2 linked regions of the Anolis sagrei genome follow. The protein of the gene in region 2 interacts with the protein of the main gene of each other region in a pairwise test. Links are inferred from orthologs where the notes say so. Each region holds a gene or a part of one and is shown on either strand. Other genes may lie near its edges.

The links. The genes of interacting proteins can lie anywhere in the genome.
Region 1: the proteins of FLAD1 (region 2) and PRTFDC1 interact in binary tests that used the Homo sapiens proteins (3 or more experiments, as listed by UniProt). The two-hybrid records come from large-scale screens. The link is inferred for Anolis sagrei from reciprocal best matches to the Homo sapiens genes FLAD1 and PRTFDC1.

What each region holds. Positions count from the first base shown.
Region 1 is NC_090026.1:109,359,353-109,367,053, forward strand, and holds the start of PRTFDC1 (phosphoribosyltransferase domain-containing protein 1), read right to left. Parts: upstream 3,003-7,701; 5' UTR 2,751-3,002; coding exon 2,676-2,750; intron 1-2,675. UniProt on the Homo sapiens protein: Has low, barely detectable phosphoribosyltransferase activity (in vitro). Binds GMP, IMP and alpha-D-5-phosphoribosyl 1-pyrophosphate (PRPP). Is not expected to contribute to purine metabolism or GMP salvage.
Region 2 is NC_090032.1:162,723-169,552, forward strand, and holds the start of FLAD1 (FAD synthase), read left to right. Parts: upstream 1-3,823; 5' UTR 3,824-3,905; coding exon 3,906-4,064; intron 4,065-6,423; coding exon 6,424-6,830. Other genes in the region: CWF19L1 (CWF19-like protein 1), read right to left, coding at 63-184, 934-1,151, 1,862-1,963, 2,874-2,952, 3,035-3,119, 3,215-3,243. UniProt on the Homo sapiens protein: Catalyzes the adenylation of flavin mononucleotide (FMN) to form flavin adenine dinucleotide (FAD) coenzyme.

The sequences.
Region 1 (7,701 bases), on a different chromosome or scaffold from region 2:
TATCTGAGTCCACACTCAGATAATTTGGGATTTCCTGCCTTGATATTCTGGATAAAGGGCTGTGTGGAAGAGTCCTGGGAGTTTTAGGCCAAAACACCTGGGGGCCCACAGGTTGAGAACCTCTGCCTTACATGAAACTGTAATTTAAGGTGAAACCCATAACTGATGGAATTATTATAACATTTATTCTTTAATATGAATGTATATGTGTTAGCCGCCTTGAATCCCCATGGAGAGAAATGTGGGATATAAATAAAGATGATAACAACAACAACAACAACAACAACAACAACAACTGATTCTGGCAGTCCAAGAACATGCCATTAGAACAAATGCCATCAAAGCCAGAATTGAAAAGTCGACAACAGATCCCAAATGTAGACTCTGCAAGGAAGCAGGTGAAACAATAGATCACATCATCAGCTGCTGCAAGAAGATCGCGCAGACAGACTACAAGCAGAGGCATAACACTGTTGCTCAGATTATTCATTGGAACTTGTGCCACAAATACCATCTGCCGGCCACAAAGAACTGGTGGGATCACAAGCCAGAAAAAGTTACAGAAAATGAACACGTCAAACTCCTCTGGGACTTCCGAATTCAGACAGAGTTTTGGAGCACAATACTCCTGACCTCACAATCGTGTTAAAAAACAAAGTATGGATTGTCGATGTTGCAATCCCAGTGACAGCAGGATTGAAGAGAAACAACTGGAAAAGCTGGCACAGTATGAGGATTTAAAGTTAGAACTGCAAAGACTCTGGCACAAGCCAGTCAAGGTGGTCCCAGTGGTGATCAGCACACTGGGTGCAGTGCCTAATCACCTTGGCCTGCACTTAAACACAATCAGCACTGACACAATTACCATCTGCCAGCTGCAGAAGGCCACCTTACTGGGATCTGCACACATTATTAGCCGATACATCACACAGTCCTAGACACTTGGGAAGTGTCCGACGTGTGATCCAATGCAACAGCCAGCAGAGTGATCTTGTCTGCCATTGACTTGTCTTGTTGTGTTTCAAATAACAACAACAACAACAACAACAATTTCAAATAGTCACCATAGCTACCATTAGCTGTTAAAGCAGGCAGGGGGTAACTTGGTCCCTCCAGGTGTTTTGGATCTCATCTCCCACCATTCCTAAGAGCCTTGGGCCCTTTAAGAGGCTGAGTGGGAAACGTATGGGGCCTGAGGATGTTAGGAATTGTAGGAGTCCAAAACACTTGGAGGGCCCAAGTTTGCCCATGTCTAACCTACACAGAACACCCTTCTCTCTTCCCTTGCAGATATTTTGCACAAGCTTCCAATGCATCTGTGCCAGCTGTTAGGAATGGTGGGAGCTGAAGTCCAAAACATTGGAGGGCTTGTTTGCCCAGGCCTGACCTACACAGTACACCCTTCTCTGTTCTCTTGCAGAGAGTTTGCACAATGCTTCTGTGCCGGCCAGGCCTGTAGCCAGGATTTTGTTTTGGGGGGAGCTGAGTTTGATTGGGGGGGGGGGGGGCTGAGTGAAAGAGGGTCTACCCTAGCAAACCTTTTGTATCGTTACCCCAATACCCCCATGCATATGGGATATATTGAGCATGGTGATCAGATCATGATATGAATAAACATAACAGTTTAAATAATGTACCAGTAAGGCCTCCTCGTGGACCAACATGAGAATTTGGGGGGGGGGGGGGCTGAAGCCCCTCAAGCCCCCCCCTCCCCCGGCTACGTGCTTGGTGCCAGCTATTAGGAATTGTGGGAGTTGAAGTCCAAAACACATGGAGGGCCCAAGTTTGACCATGCCTGTGTTAAAGGGCACATGTATTTTGGGGGACAGACTGTATAGATGTAATCAAAGTATTTATATTGTTTAGTCAACAGTGTGAGTTGGGGGGGGGGGGAGGACAATGACAAAATAACAGCCTCATGTGGGTGCATCTATACTGTAGCCAACTGTTAGGAACTGTGGGAGCTGAAGTCCAAAACACATGTAGGCCCAAAGGTTGGGAACCACTGTTGTAGAAATGGCCTCACAACCTCTGGGGATGCCTGCCATAGATGTGGGAGAAACGTCAGGAGAGAATGCTTCTGGAACATGGACATACAGCCTGGAAAGCTCACAGCAACCCAACAACTCATAGTTTTGTAACAGCTAAAGCAGTGGTTCTCAATCTGTGGTCCCCAGGTGTTTTGGCTTACAACTCCCAGAAATCCCAGCTGTTAGGATTTCTGGGAGTTGAAGGCCCAAACATCTGGAGACCCACAGGTTGAGAACCACTGAGCTAAAGTGTTGTTGAACTGCATTCATTTAGCAGCATGACGCACAGAGTGGGAGTGGGGTGAGGAGTAAAAGGGAAATAACAATAGCCTCCTATGGGTGCATCTACACTGTTGAATTAATGCAGTTTGACACCACTTTAGCTGCCATGGCTCAATGCTATGGAATCCTGGGAGCAGCAACTTCCAGAATCTCTCCCTCGCTAGTGTGGACGAGGATTATATAACCCACGTTGCAAGTTACTTTCTGAAGCTTTGGGTGAGCTCTGAAGACACACAACGTGGCGGGCAGAGGATGCCTCGGCTGCACCAGCAGGAAAGAGAGAGAGAGTTCTGCCTGGCCCAAGGGCAGCACTCACTGACTGTGTGTTTGGAAGCAAAGGGAGGGAGGAGGTTTTGAATTTACCACGACCCCTCGGCCACGGCTGCGTCGCGGCGCCTCTGCTGGGTTGGGGGCCTCGCCGATGCTTTGCCCGGCCATCTTCGGCGAAGGGAGCCTCGAGGAGAAAGGAAGAAGGGGAGAAAGGAAGGAAAGAAAGAAGAGGGAGAAGTGAAAAGATTAGGAGGGAAAGCGAGGGAAAGCGCTCAGCCTGGCCTTCTGCGCCTCTTTGCTGCGAGGAGGCGGGCTTAGGCGCCAGCCTCCAGACCCAGAGTGGAAAAGGAGGAGGAGGAAGGAAGGAAGGAAGGAAGGAGAAAGCGAAGGAGAAGCAAAGGAGGCGGCGCCTGCCTCGAGTTGGAGGGAAGGAGAAGGAGGGAAGGGAGGGAGGCAGGGGAAGGGGAAGGGAAGGAAGGAAGGTGGGAAGGGGAAGGATGGGAAAGGAAGGAAGGGGAGAGGGGGATGGAAGGGAAAGGGAAGGAAAGAGGTGAGAGAAGGAAGGAAAGGAAGGAAGAAGAAGGGAAAGGAAGGAAGGGGAGAGGGGGGTGGAAAGTAGGTAGGAAGAAAGGAAGGAAGGGGAGGACAAAGGGAGGGGAAGGAAGGAAGGTGGGAAGGGGAAGGATGGGAAAGGAAAGAAGGGGAGAGTTGGATGGAAAGTGTTAAGGAAGGAAGGGGAAGAGGAAGGAAAGGGAGCGGAAGGAAGGAAGGGAGAAAAGAAAGGAAGATGGGAAGGAAGGAGATGAGGGAAGGGAAAGGATGAGGAGGGGAAGGAAGGAAGGATGAGAAGGGAAGGAAGGATGAGAAGGGAAGGAAGGAATGAAGAAGGGAAAAGGAAGAAGGGAGGGAAGGGAAAGGAAGGAAGGGGAAGAGGAAGGAAGGAAGGGAGAAGAGAAAGGGAGATGGGAAAGAAGGAGATGAGTGAAGGGAGGGAGGGAAGGGAAAGTATGAGAAGGGGAAGGAAGGAAGGATGAGAAGGGAAGGAAGGAATGAAGGAGGGAAGGGAAGAGGAAGGAGGGAGGGAAGGGAAGGGAAAGGAAGGAAGCGGAGAGGGGGAAGCAAGGAGGGGAAGGAAGGGAAAGGAAGGAAGGTGGGTAGGAAGTTAAGGAAGGAGGTGAGGGAAGGAAGGGGAAGGAGGGAAGGGGGGCACATGGGAAGAAAGAAGAGGAAGGAAGGAAAGAAAAGGAAGGCAAGGAAAGGTGCCTCCATGCCAGACATGGACCAACTTCAGCTTTCCCTCTAGGTGTTTTGGACTCCAATTTGTTCATTTTGGCATCTGCTCCTTCCTTAGTTGAGAGATGTCTTAGTTGCATCCCATTTAGATTTAGATCCTGCACCTCTTTCTCAACTCAGAAAGGGGTCTTTTAACCACAGCTACTTCCTCTGTTGAGAGAGACACAGGCAGCCTGGTTATATGGAGCCATATCACTTTCTTGGCTTAGGAGACTCCCTCTTTGGACCTGTTAGCAAAGTGTGTAGTGGATTACTGTAAGTTTTCCAGGCAGTATGGCCATGTTCCAGATGTACTTTCTCCTGACGTTTCGCCCACATCTATCGCAGCCATCCTCAGAGGTTGAAAGGTCTGTTGGAAACTTGGACAAGTGGGGTTTATATATCTGTCTTGTTACAGGCAGAAATACAGAGAAGTCTGGTGCAGAACTTCAAGAACCGAGAATAACAGCTCAGTAAAGGCTGTTCTGAACACTGATTTGCCATCGTGTCAGAAGCAAATTGAGGATACAGTTGTAATGTATTTAAAAGTGCAAACAAAGTAAAAAGCTTGGCACTTGGGAGTGCCTCTGGTGTTTCTGCAAGAAGGTCCTCCATTGTGTATGTGGCAGGACTCAGGCTGCATTGTAATAGGTGGTCTGTGGTTTGCTCTTGTCCACACTCGCATGTTGTGGACTCCACTTGGTGGCCCCATTTCTTAAGGTTGGTTCTGCATCTCAAGGTGTCAGAGCGCAGTCCTTGAAGTGACTGGCTTGACCTTGAAGGAGCTGAGGATGGTGACGGCCGACAGGGAGCTCTGGCGTGGGCTGTTTCATGAGGTCACGAAGAGTCAGAAGCGACTGAACAAATGAACAACAACAATGACTTCTAGAAAGAAGGCAGGTAGAAAAACACCTTGAGTTACATAGATCTAGGAAACAGTTTGAAAACAAGGCAAGAAAGCATTAGGGAGTCCTGTAACAAAGTTGGGTAACTTTCTTTTGTCTATCCATCCCTTTATATGAGGTGTATACCCGCAACAATAAAAGTGGGTTTGTTACCTTTTTGAACCATACCAGAACATCCAGCATATTTTATTTCCTGTTTCCTACTACAAGCTCGAATATAACACTGGTTAAGCTGCACTCCGCAATAGATACCATATGTACCTTTAATGAGTTCTAGGTGAACTGATAATAAGGTAGGCTAAGAATCTCAGGTGGTTTTATGTGGTTATTATGCGAGTCAATATATGCCAAGCAGCAACAAGAGTCATATCGCCCCATAAAATTAACTTGGCATTTGTTCTTGGTAGTCCCTTGGTTCTAATAAAAGGAAGAATTCTAATGAAAATCAGTTGTGTTTATTCACCTTTGTTCCCTTTGCTATACCAAAAGGGTGTATGAGTTGGCAATTCTGATCGCTGGCTGTTCTTTTACATACAAATATAGATGGAGCGACATTCTTAAGATTCCCTAAAATGTATTTTGTCAAACTTCCTGGAGAGTGAAAGCACGGAATGTTTTCCTTGTGTCTGTAGCTCAAATGGTTTTCATTATACCATTTCCCCCCTCCTATATAATCAGCAGTACCGATGACCAGGGTTGTCAGGTGTCTTCCTGAAAAATAAGGGACATGGGGGAGGGGGGGCTTGTGGGCCAGGGACTTCAATGGACAGGACTTCTGCCCCTCCCCCCCCCAACTCCTCCTTAGCAATTGACATCTCTGTCCCCTCCTTGCCTTCAGGTCAAATACCAAGGAGGAGGCCGAGGTCCCAGAACATCCCAGGCAATCATCCCCTGGAATGTGGGATATTTTCCCGCAATAAGGGACTGCCCTTTAAGATCTAGTAAGCCTGGCAAGCCTGGTGATGACCTTCATGAAAAAGTACACTTCTGTTTTAAGTGGAAAGAGATAGGACTGCTTTATGTTTGATTTGAGAGACACTTCCATGAACATCAAACAGGAAGAAGTGCCTTGTTCTCTTTCGGTGTTCAAGAAGACTGGGGGCTCTTCCACACAGCCCTATATCCCAGAATATCAAGGCAGAAATTCCGAGTGTGGACTCAGATAACCCAGTTCAAAGCAGATATTGTGTGATTTCCTGCCTTGATATTCCGGGATATAGGATTGTGTGGAAGGGCCCTGGAAAGTCTAGGTGAACAGTACATACAATCAAAATGCCAAATGTACCTGGAACAGAATCAGCTTCCTGAAAAACACTCCCATACCTTTCAGCAATGAGTGCATACAACAGCCTGGTCTCACATGATACACTCTAGATTTATTGGACTGTAATTCCCATAGATCATGAAACTGAATTGCCAATAAAAGTGGTGCCAGTCTGCATTAATTCTACACCTTTAGAGGCATTTTTGACACATGCATCCAGCTTTTCTTTCCCTGAAGAAAAAACTGGGGAAAGTATATATATGCCTTACCAATATCCCAACAGAGGGGGAGGCAGGCATTTGACTAGGTACACAAGGGGATTTCATCTTCCCTTCATAATGTTCAAATTGATTGAAGAGCCTGGTTGGATGAAACCATTCAATGATGTCCTCTGAACACACAAGAGAAATGTCCTCCAGAGGTCATTTTGGTACAATTTAGAGTATTTTGACCCCTGATGGTCACAAAGAGTCCTAGTAGTGTCTGTGGACCCTTCCACACAGACCAATATCCCAGAACATCAAGGCAGAAAATCCCACAATATCTGCTTTGAACTGGGTCATCTGAGGGCCCTTCCACACAGCCCTATATCCCAGAATATCAAGGCAGAAAATCCTATCTGAGTGTGGACTCAGATAACCCAATTCAAAGCAGATATTCTGGGATTTCCTGCCTTAATATTTTGGGATACAGGGCTGTGTGGAAGGACCCTGAGTCCACTCAGATAATGTGGGATTTTCTGCCTTGATATTCTGGGATATAGGGCTGTGTGGAAGGACCCAAAGACCCAATGAGTTGCACTTGTCCACCATCACTTTAAATGTCACTAAACAATAATGAAAAGAAGGAATCTTAGGGCAGAAAATCCCATATCATCTGCTTTCAACTGGGTTATCTGAGTCAACACTCAGAAAATGTGGGATTTCCTGCCCTGATATTCTAGGATATAGGGCTGTGTAGAAGGGCCTTTAGCCACACACTGCTGTTTCAAGTCACTGCCATTATAAGAACTCAAATCCTTTTCTTTCTGATCTATTAGCTTGTGTTATCCAGGAGGTCTACGAAAGTGGTATGCAGAGGTCATTTCACACTGTAATATAATCCAGAATATCAAGGCAAATAATCCACACTATCTGCTTTGAATGGGATTATCTGAGTAAACTGCCATATAATCAAAGCAGATAATCTGCATTTTATAAAGCTCTGTAGAAGGGGCCAGTGTTGCTATGCCATGTGCAGATTTCAGCATCATAACAGGAACGTTATCATGATTAGATTTTTATTGCCAAGAATGAGGAAGGATCTTTATGAATTGTTTTGACTTTTGAACCCAAATCATTCTGTTGGCACTGAGTTCTATTGACTATCTCAGTGGGTGGAGGATGTCATTTGTTATGTGCTGAGATTTTATTTTATTTTCTTGTCAGGAGCAACTTGAGAAACTGTCTAGATGGTGAAATATCTTGGGCTGGCCCTGGGTATACAACATATAGCACAAGTTTATGCATATTTAACAGAAAAGTCAGCCTTACTGGATTCAAGTAGAGTTGCACAGAACTACAGTATTACACTTTGATCATGTACAGAATTACTCAGTTCAGTAAAATGAGTAGACCTGGAATCAGAATTTAGAGCCCTAAATGTATCTGTTCTGTCTTTTCTAATCTTGAATTCATTT
Region 2 (6,830 bases):
AAAGGGAAGCCCCCGACTGCAGCGCTACAACCCCCCCGTGCTCCGATAGACCGGCAACGCACCTGTAAGGCAGCCTCTCGTAATGCAGCTTCTGCAGGGCGGCAAAGTGGTAGCGGGGCTTGAGGCTGGCGGCCAAGAGGGAGACCAGCTCTGAGCTGCCGGGCGCCTGGCTCTGGACGGGGCCCTGCGAGGGGAAGCGCACGCGCCTCAATCACAGGCTTCCCTTTGAGAAGGTTTCAGAAGGTTCACCCAACAGGTCCCCCAAAACTCTGGGTGAGAGGAAGGTCTGCCCCTTCAGACACAAAGCTCATTAGAAGAAGAAAGAAGATGGAGGGAGGGAGGAAGGAAGGAGGGAGGGAAGGAAGGAAGAAGGAAAGAAGAAAGCAGGATGCTTTTATGTAGATGCGGCCCGCTCTCTGCCATTATGTTTGGCTTCTATGTTCTGCGTATATTGTTTTATATGTCTTGATGTTTTATACCTCAATGTTATGTTGATTATTTTACTGCAATTTGTATTTTCATATTGTGGTTTGTTGTTCGGGCTTGGCCCCACGTAAGCCGCTCCGAGGCCCCGTTGGGGAGATGGTGGCGGGGTATAAATAAAGTTTATTATGATTATATTATTTTGGAGGAAGGAAGGATTGAAAGAAAGAAGGAGGAAGGAAGGAAAGAAGATGGATGGATGATGGACAAAGGAAGGAAGGAAGACAAGAAGGAAGATGGATGAACAAAGGAAGGAAGGAAAGAAGCCAGATGTCTGGAATTCTGGGACGTAGAGATGCCTTGTCTTGGGAAAAGCATCCAAGCAAGGGAGCTTCCTGCTGACCTTTGGGCTGAAAAAGCCCAATTGGCCTGCTCCCCCCCCCCCCGAGAGATTTGGGCAACCTTTATGGTGCCAGCATATTGCTCTAGGGCATTGTTTGTAAGACTCACCGGGGCGTTGTTTGCAAAGGCCTGGACACCCCTGGGCCAGGGAGAGGTCAGCAGGATGTCCACGCCTTTGAAGCCCGGAGCAGAGAGCAAGGAGGCCCGGAGCTCAGCCACATCGTGGGCGCTGAAGCTGTGGGCCGGGGCCGGCTCTTGCGTGGACTCGGTGCCACTCAGGTAGGCGATCTGCAGCCCAGAGGCCCCACTGAAGACGCCCTTGCGGCCTGGGAGCGTGGGGCACAAAGGATGGAAGTAAAGGCATGAGAAGAATGCAATGTTAGGACACAAATGGGCACTCAGGCAGGGAACGGCAACCACACGCTGGCCCGCAAAAAGCACTGCACCAAATTTCAGACGCAAGACCCTTAAAAATCTTGCAACTGGGACCAGACCCACAGTCCTGACAATTACGGCCTAGGCAAGGTTGCTTTTTGCTACCAAAACTGAGCAGCAATAAAGTTCTCAACTCTGAGGATGCTTGCCATAGATGCAGGTGAAACGTCAGGAGAGAATGCCTCTAGAACATGGCCATATAGCCCGAAAAAACCTACAACAACCCAGTGATTCCGGCCATGAAAGCCTTCAGCAATACAAGTTCTCAACTATTTTGCTACAAAAACAAAGTGCCAATTGGTTTGCTATCAAAACAAAGTACCAAGAAAGTTCCCACTGCTTTTGCTACCAATATAAAATATCAATAAAGTTCCCACTTGCTTTTGTTACCAAAACAAAGTATCAATAACGTTACCAATTGCTTTTGCTACCAAAATAAAATATCAATAAAGTTACCAATTGGTTTGTTACCAAAACAAAGTACCAAGAAAGTTCCGAACCCCTTTTGCTACCAAAACAAAGTATCAATAAAGTTACCAATTGCTTTTGGTACCAAAACAAAGCACCTAGAAAGTTCCCACTGCTTTTGCTCTGCACTCACCCAGGTAAGTGATGTTCTCGGCCAGTTCGCCTCCACCGGGATCCGGGAAGTGTCCAGCCGTTTCCTCGTTGTTGGCGCCCAGGATGAACGTCGGGATGGGAGCTGAGGGAGGGAGCAAGGAGAGCTTGCGGGGAGGAGGCTCATCTACAGACATATTCTATATTCCATATCTATCTAAAGATACATTCTGTTTTGATGGTAGAACCAATTAGGAAAGGATGACACTGATTACCCAAGAACAAAAATTGGGCTACATAGTGCTATTGCAATTTTATATTATTATTATTATTATTATTATTATTATTATTATTGTATTTTATACCTTATTATATAATATTGCAATATTATTTTACTGTAACATTATAGATTATTGTATTATTATATATTATGATGATTATATGATTGACTTTTGCTCTTGTTGTGAACCGCGTTGAGTCGCCTACGGGCTGAGAAACTGCGGTATACAAGCAAAGTAAATAAATAAATAATAAATTATATCATTGTGGTAGTATTTTATGTTTTGCCCCATATTATTATAATTATATTATTTTTATTATTGCACAAATATTATATGTTATAGTATTATAATATATATATATATATATATATATATATATTAGGATTATATATATTTAGCATTAATATTACATATTATAATTGTATCATTATATTATTATATATCACTTATTACTGTTGTAGTACTATTATCATATTATATGCTATTATAATGGTAATATATATTATTGTTTTATATACGATTGTATAGTATTGCAGCATTAGTATTATCATTATTGTATCATTATATTACTGAATATTACCTATTATTATTCTAGTATTATCATATTATATGATATTATAATGTTTATATCTATTAGTTTTTCTAGTTACATATTTATATATTATTATTACTGTATTATTATACAATATTGCTTATTTCATATTATTATTATTATTATTGTATGCTGCTTTATTATATACTTGCTAGACTTCGTTGCCATGGCGACAAACTCACCCTTCTTGGCCCCGCCCCGGAAGTCCTCCCACTCGGGGTCGCGCGCGGAGCCGAAGAAGCTTCCGGCGCAGAGCAGGAGCTGCGGGGAAAGGCGGAGGAGAGGCGTGAGAGGGCGCATGCGCGGGCAGGCAAAGGGCGGAAGTGACGTCGCGCGCGCCTACCTCGAAGGGCCCGCTCTTCTTCTGTACGGCGCGGACGCGGGCGAAGAGCGCCCCCAGGCGGCCCTCCACGTCGCCGCACACCAGCCTGCCGGGAGACAGAGACGGAAAGAGGAGAACCGTCAGGAAGGCCCGCTCGCCCGCCCGCCCACCTTCCCTGGGCGCTTCCCTTCCCTCACTCACAGGCGGAGCGGCTTCTCGGGCGGCGCCATCTTGGGTGGGAGAGGAAGTGGAGAAAGCGCAGTGGCGTCACTTCCGGCGCGAAGTCAGTTCTACGCCTGCGCAGTGCAACTTTAGTTCACCGTTCCCTCCTTAGCTGACGCATGCGCAGAAAAAGTGGGATACAAAGTGCCCCTTTTCCTGCAGTTTGAATTCATTCAACCTATTTCACATTTGACCTTGAAGGAGCCGGGGGTGGTGACGGCCGACAGGGAGCTCTGGCGTGGGCTGGTCCATGAGGTCACGAAGAGTCGGAGACGACTGAACGAATGAACAACAATTTCACCTTATTTCCATGCGCAAAGGCCGCCGGGAGTTGTAGTCCCAGAGCGTCACTCCACCTCGTCTGACGTACAGGCCCGCTAGGGGGCGGGGACTACGGCCAATCGGGTTCAGACTTTGCCCCCGTTATTCCCGCCCCTCTCCCGGCTTGGCCAATGGGAGGGAAGGGAGGTCGGGGAAGCGGAACTAACGGGCGGAGGGAGCGGCAGGTGAGCGGGGAGAGCGGGCGGCTCTTAAAGGGGACGCCGCCGGTATTATTGATGGTAGGGTGGCTTGGCCCCTGAGCGTGTGCAGAGTGCCCTATGAGCGACCCGGCCGCGTTCCTTCCTTCCTCCCTTTTTCTCTCCGCAGGCTGAGGGCCGCGTTGCTGCGGATGCGCCTGCGCAGGAGCCTGGCCCTCGTGAGGGGGCTCTGCGGGAGGGGGCGAGCCATGGCCGCGCGGAGAGATGGCGTCACTACCGGGACAGAGGGGGAGGGCGAGGGCGGCGACGTCACTGCCGGGATCATCATCATTGGCGACGAGATCCTGAAGGTGAGCCGGAAGTGGCCTCTCTGGGCGGAGACTCGCATCTCTCTGGCCCGAGTCTGAGTCCTGAACAGGCCCAGAGCTGGTCACGTGGCCTGCAGCCCCGCCCACCACACAGAGTTCAGGAAAAGACAAGACACACACACACGATACAGTAAACAATCTGAATCATACACGTGATAAATAACTATTTATTTATTTACGACGTTTGTATGCCGCCCTTCTCACCCCGAAAGGTATATATTACATACAATATATTATATTATTAGCATAGTATATTAGATATTAGCATAGTACAATATCAGCATTAAACATTGCAGCATACCACTATATCGTAATATTATAAGGAAAAGACAAGATACACATATACAATACAGTAAACAATCTGAATAATAATAATAATAAATAAAACTTTATTAATACCCCGCTGCCACCATCTCTCTCCCCAAGGGACTCGGAGCGGCTTACATGAGGCCGAGCCCAACAACACATCAATAACAAAAAGCAATAAGCAAATAAAACAATACAATGAATATAAATCGCATATAAACAACAACAATAATACACATGACAAATAACTAGTCTCGGAGGCTTGTAGAAGGCGGCTCTTCCCAAGACCATCTAGCCCAGTCATGAGCAAATAATAATATTTTATTTTTATTATTTATTTTATTTCGGTTTCTTCTACCCGGCCCTTCTGACCCCGAAGGGGACTCAGGGCGGCTTACAAAGCCACAATTCAACGCCAACATCACATAACAACAATAAGACAAAATAACATCAATTAAACAGTTGAAACAGTTAAACAACAATTCCTGCATTACAACCCTAAAACTGATAAAACCAATAAAACAATACAAACCCAATTACTCCTCATTGACGGTCAGCATTAACTATCTCATAGTCGAAATTCCATTTCCACATTATCAGTCCTAATCGTCTGATTGTCCTTATCTAGTTGTCAGATTGCCCAAAGGCCTGGTCCCACAACCACGTCTTTACTTTCCTCCTGAAGGAGAGGAGAGATGTTGACGACCTAATTTCCCCCGGGAGAGAGTTCCACAGGCAAGGGGCCACCACTGAGAAGGCCCTGCTCCTCGTCCCCACCAACCTCACTTGTGATAGTGGTGGGGTCGAGAGCAGGGCCTCCCCAGATGATCTCAAACTCTGGGGTGGGACGTACAGGGAGATGCGTTTGGACAGATACACTGGACCTGAACCGTACAGGCTTTTGTAGGTCAAAACCAGCACCTTGAATTGTGCTCAGAACTGAACCGGCAGCCAGTGGACCTGACACAGCAGGGGGGTGGTGTGCTCCCTGTATGACGCTCCAGTGAGCAGTCTGGCTGCTGCTCGCTGGACCAATTGAAGTTTCCGAACAGTCTTCAAGGGCAACCCCACGTAGAGTTGTGCGTATAATAATAATAATAAACTTTATATATACCCCGCCACCATCTCCCCAAAGGGGACTCGGGGCGGCAAACGTGAGGCCAAGCCAAAGAGTTACAATGCCGCAAAGTAACATGCAACAAACAGGTAATAACACCAAATAAAATGCAAACAACAACAGGTATACAATAAGCAAGCACAACTGAAAAAAATTGGTCGTGTCAGAAGCGACCTGAGAAACTGCAAGTCGCTTCTGGTGTGAGAGATTTGGCTGTCTGCAAGGACGTTGCCCAGGGAACACCTGGATGATTTGATGTTTTATCACCCTTGTGGGAGGCTTCTCTCATGTCCCCTTTGCACGAGGAGCTGGAGCTGATAGAGGGAGCTCATCTGCCTCTCCCCAGACTCGAATCTACGACCTGTCGGTCTTCAGTCCTGCCGGCACAAGGATTTAACCCACTGCGCCACCCATCGGGGGCTCCACAACTAAAATGATGGAAGATTACAAACGGAGTGGGTGGGCTAACTTCGGCCCTCCAGGTGTTTGGGATAGGCTGATAGGAATTGTGGGAGTTGAAGTATTTATTTTTTTATTTGCAACATTTATATGCTGCCCTTCTCACTTCAAAGATACAAGATATATATACATACATTATATTATATTATTAGCATAGCACAAAATCAGTATTACATATTACTATATTGTACTAGACCATCAAGAGGTACCGCTTCTGCGGGAAGAGAATGGGCACTCCATGGAGTCATGCTGGCCACATGACCTTGGAGGTGTCCACGGACAATGCCCACTCTTCAGCTTAGAAATGGAGATGACCCCCAGAGTCACAACTAGACTTAAGGTCAAGGGGAAACATTTTCCTCGTTATTGTTATTATTCCCTTAGTGTTGGAAGGACAAGTCTCCTCCGACTTGTCCTTCTGGGCCCTTATCCCCCCCCCCCCCCCCTCGCTCTCCTTAGGGCTACACTCAGGACACGAACTCCTTCTTCATGTGCAAGGTGCTGCGCTCGCTGGGTGTCCGCGTGGCCAGGATCTCGGTGGTGCCGGACGACGTGGCGGCCATCGCAGGAGAGGTCTCCTCCTTCTCCACCCGGTTTTCTTTCGTCCTGACCTCGGGGGGTGTTGGCCCAACACATGATGACGTCACCTTCGAGGCGGTGGCCCAGGCCTTTGGGGAGCGGACCACCCCGCACCCGGAGATGGAGGCGCTGGTGGAGCGCTTCTTTGGCCGGTCGGAGGCCGCCGGCTCCGGGGCTGCCAAGCTGGCCCGCCTGCCCCCCTCCGCCCTCCTCCACTACGGCGTGGACAAGGCCACCGGCCAGAGGCTGCCCTTCCCGCTGGTCAGCGTCCGCAACGTCTACGTCTT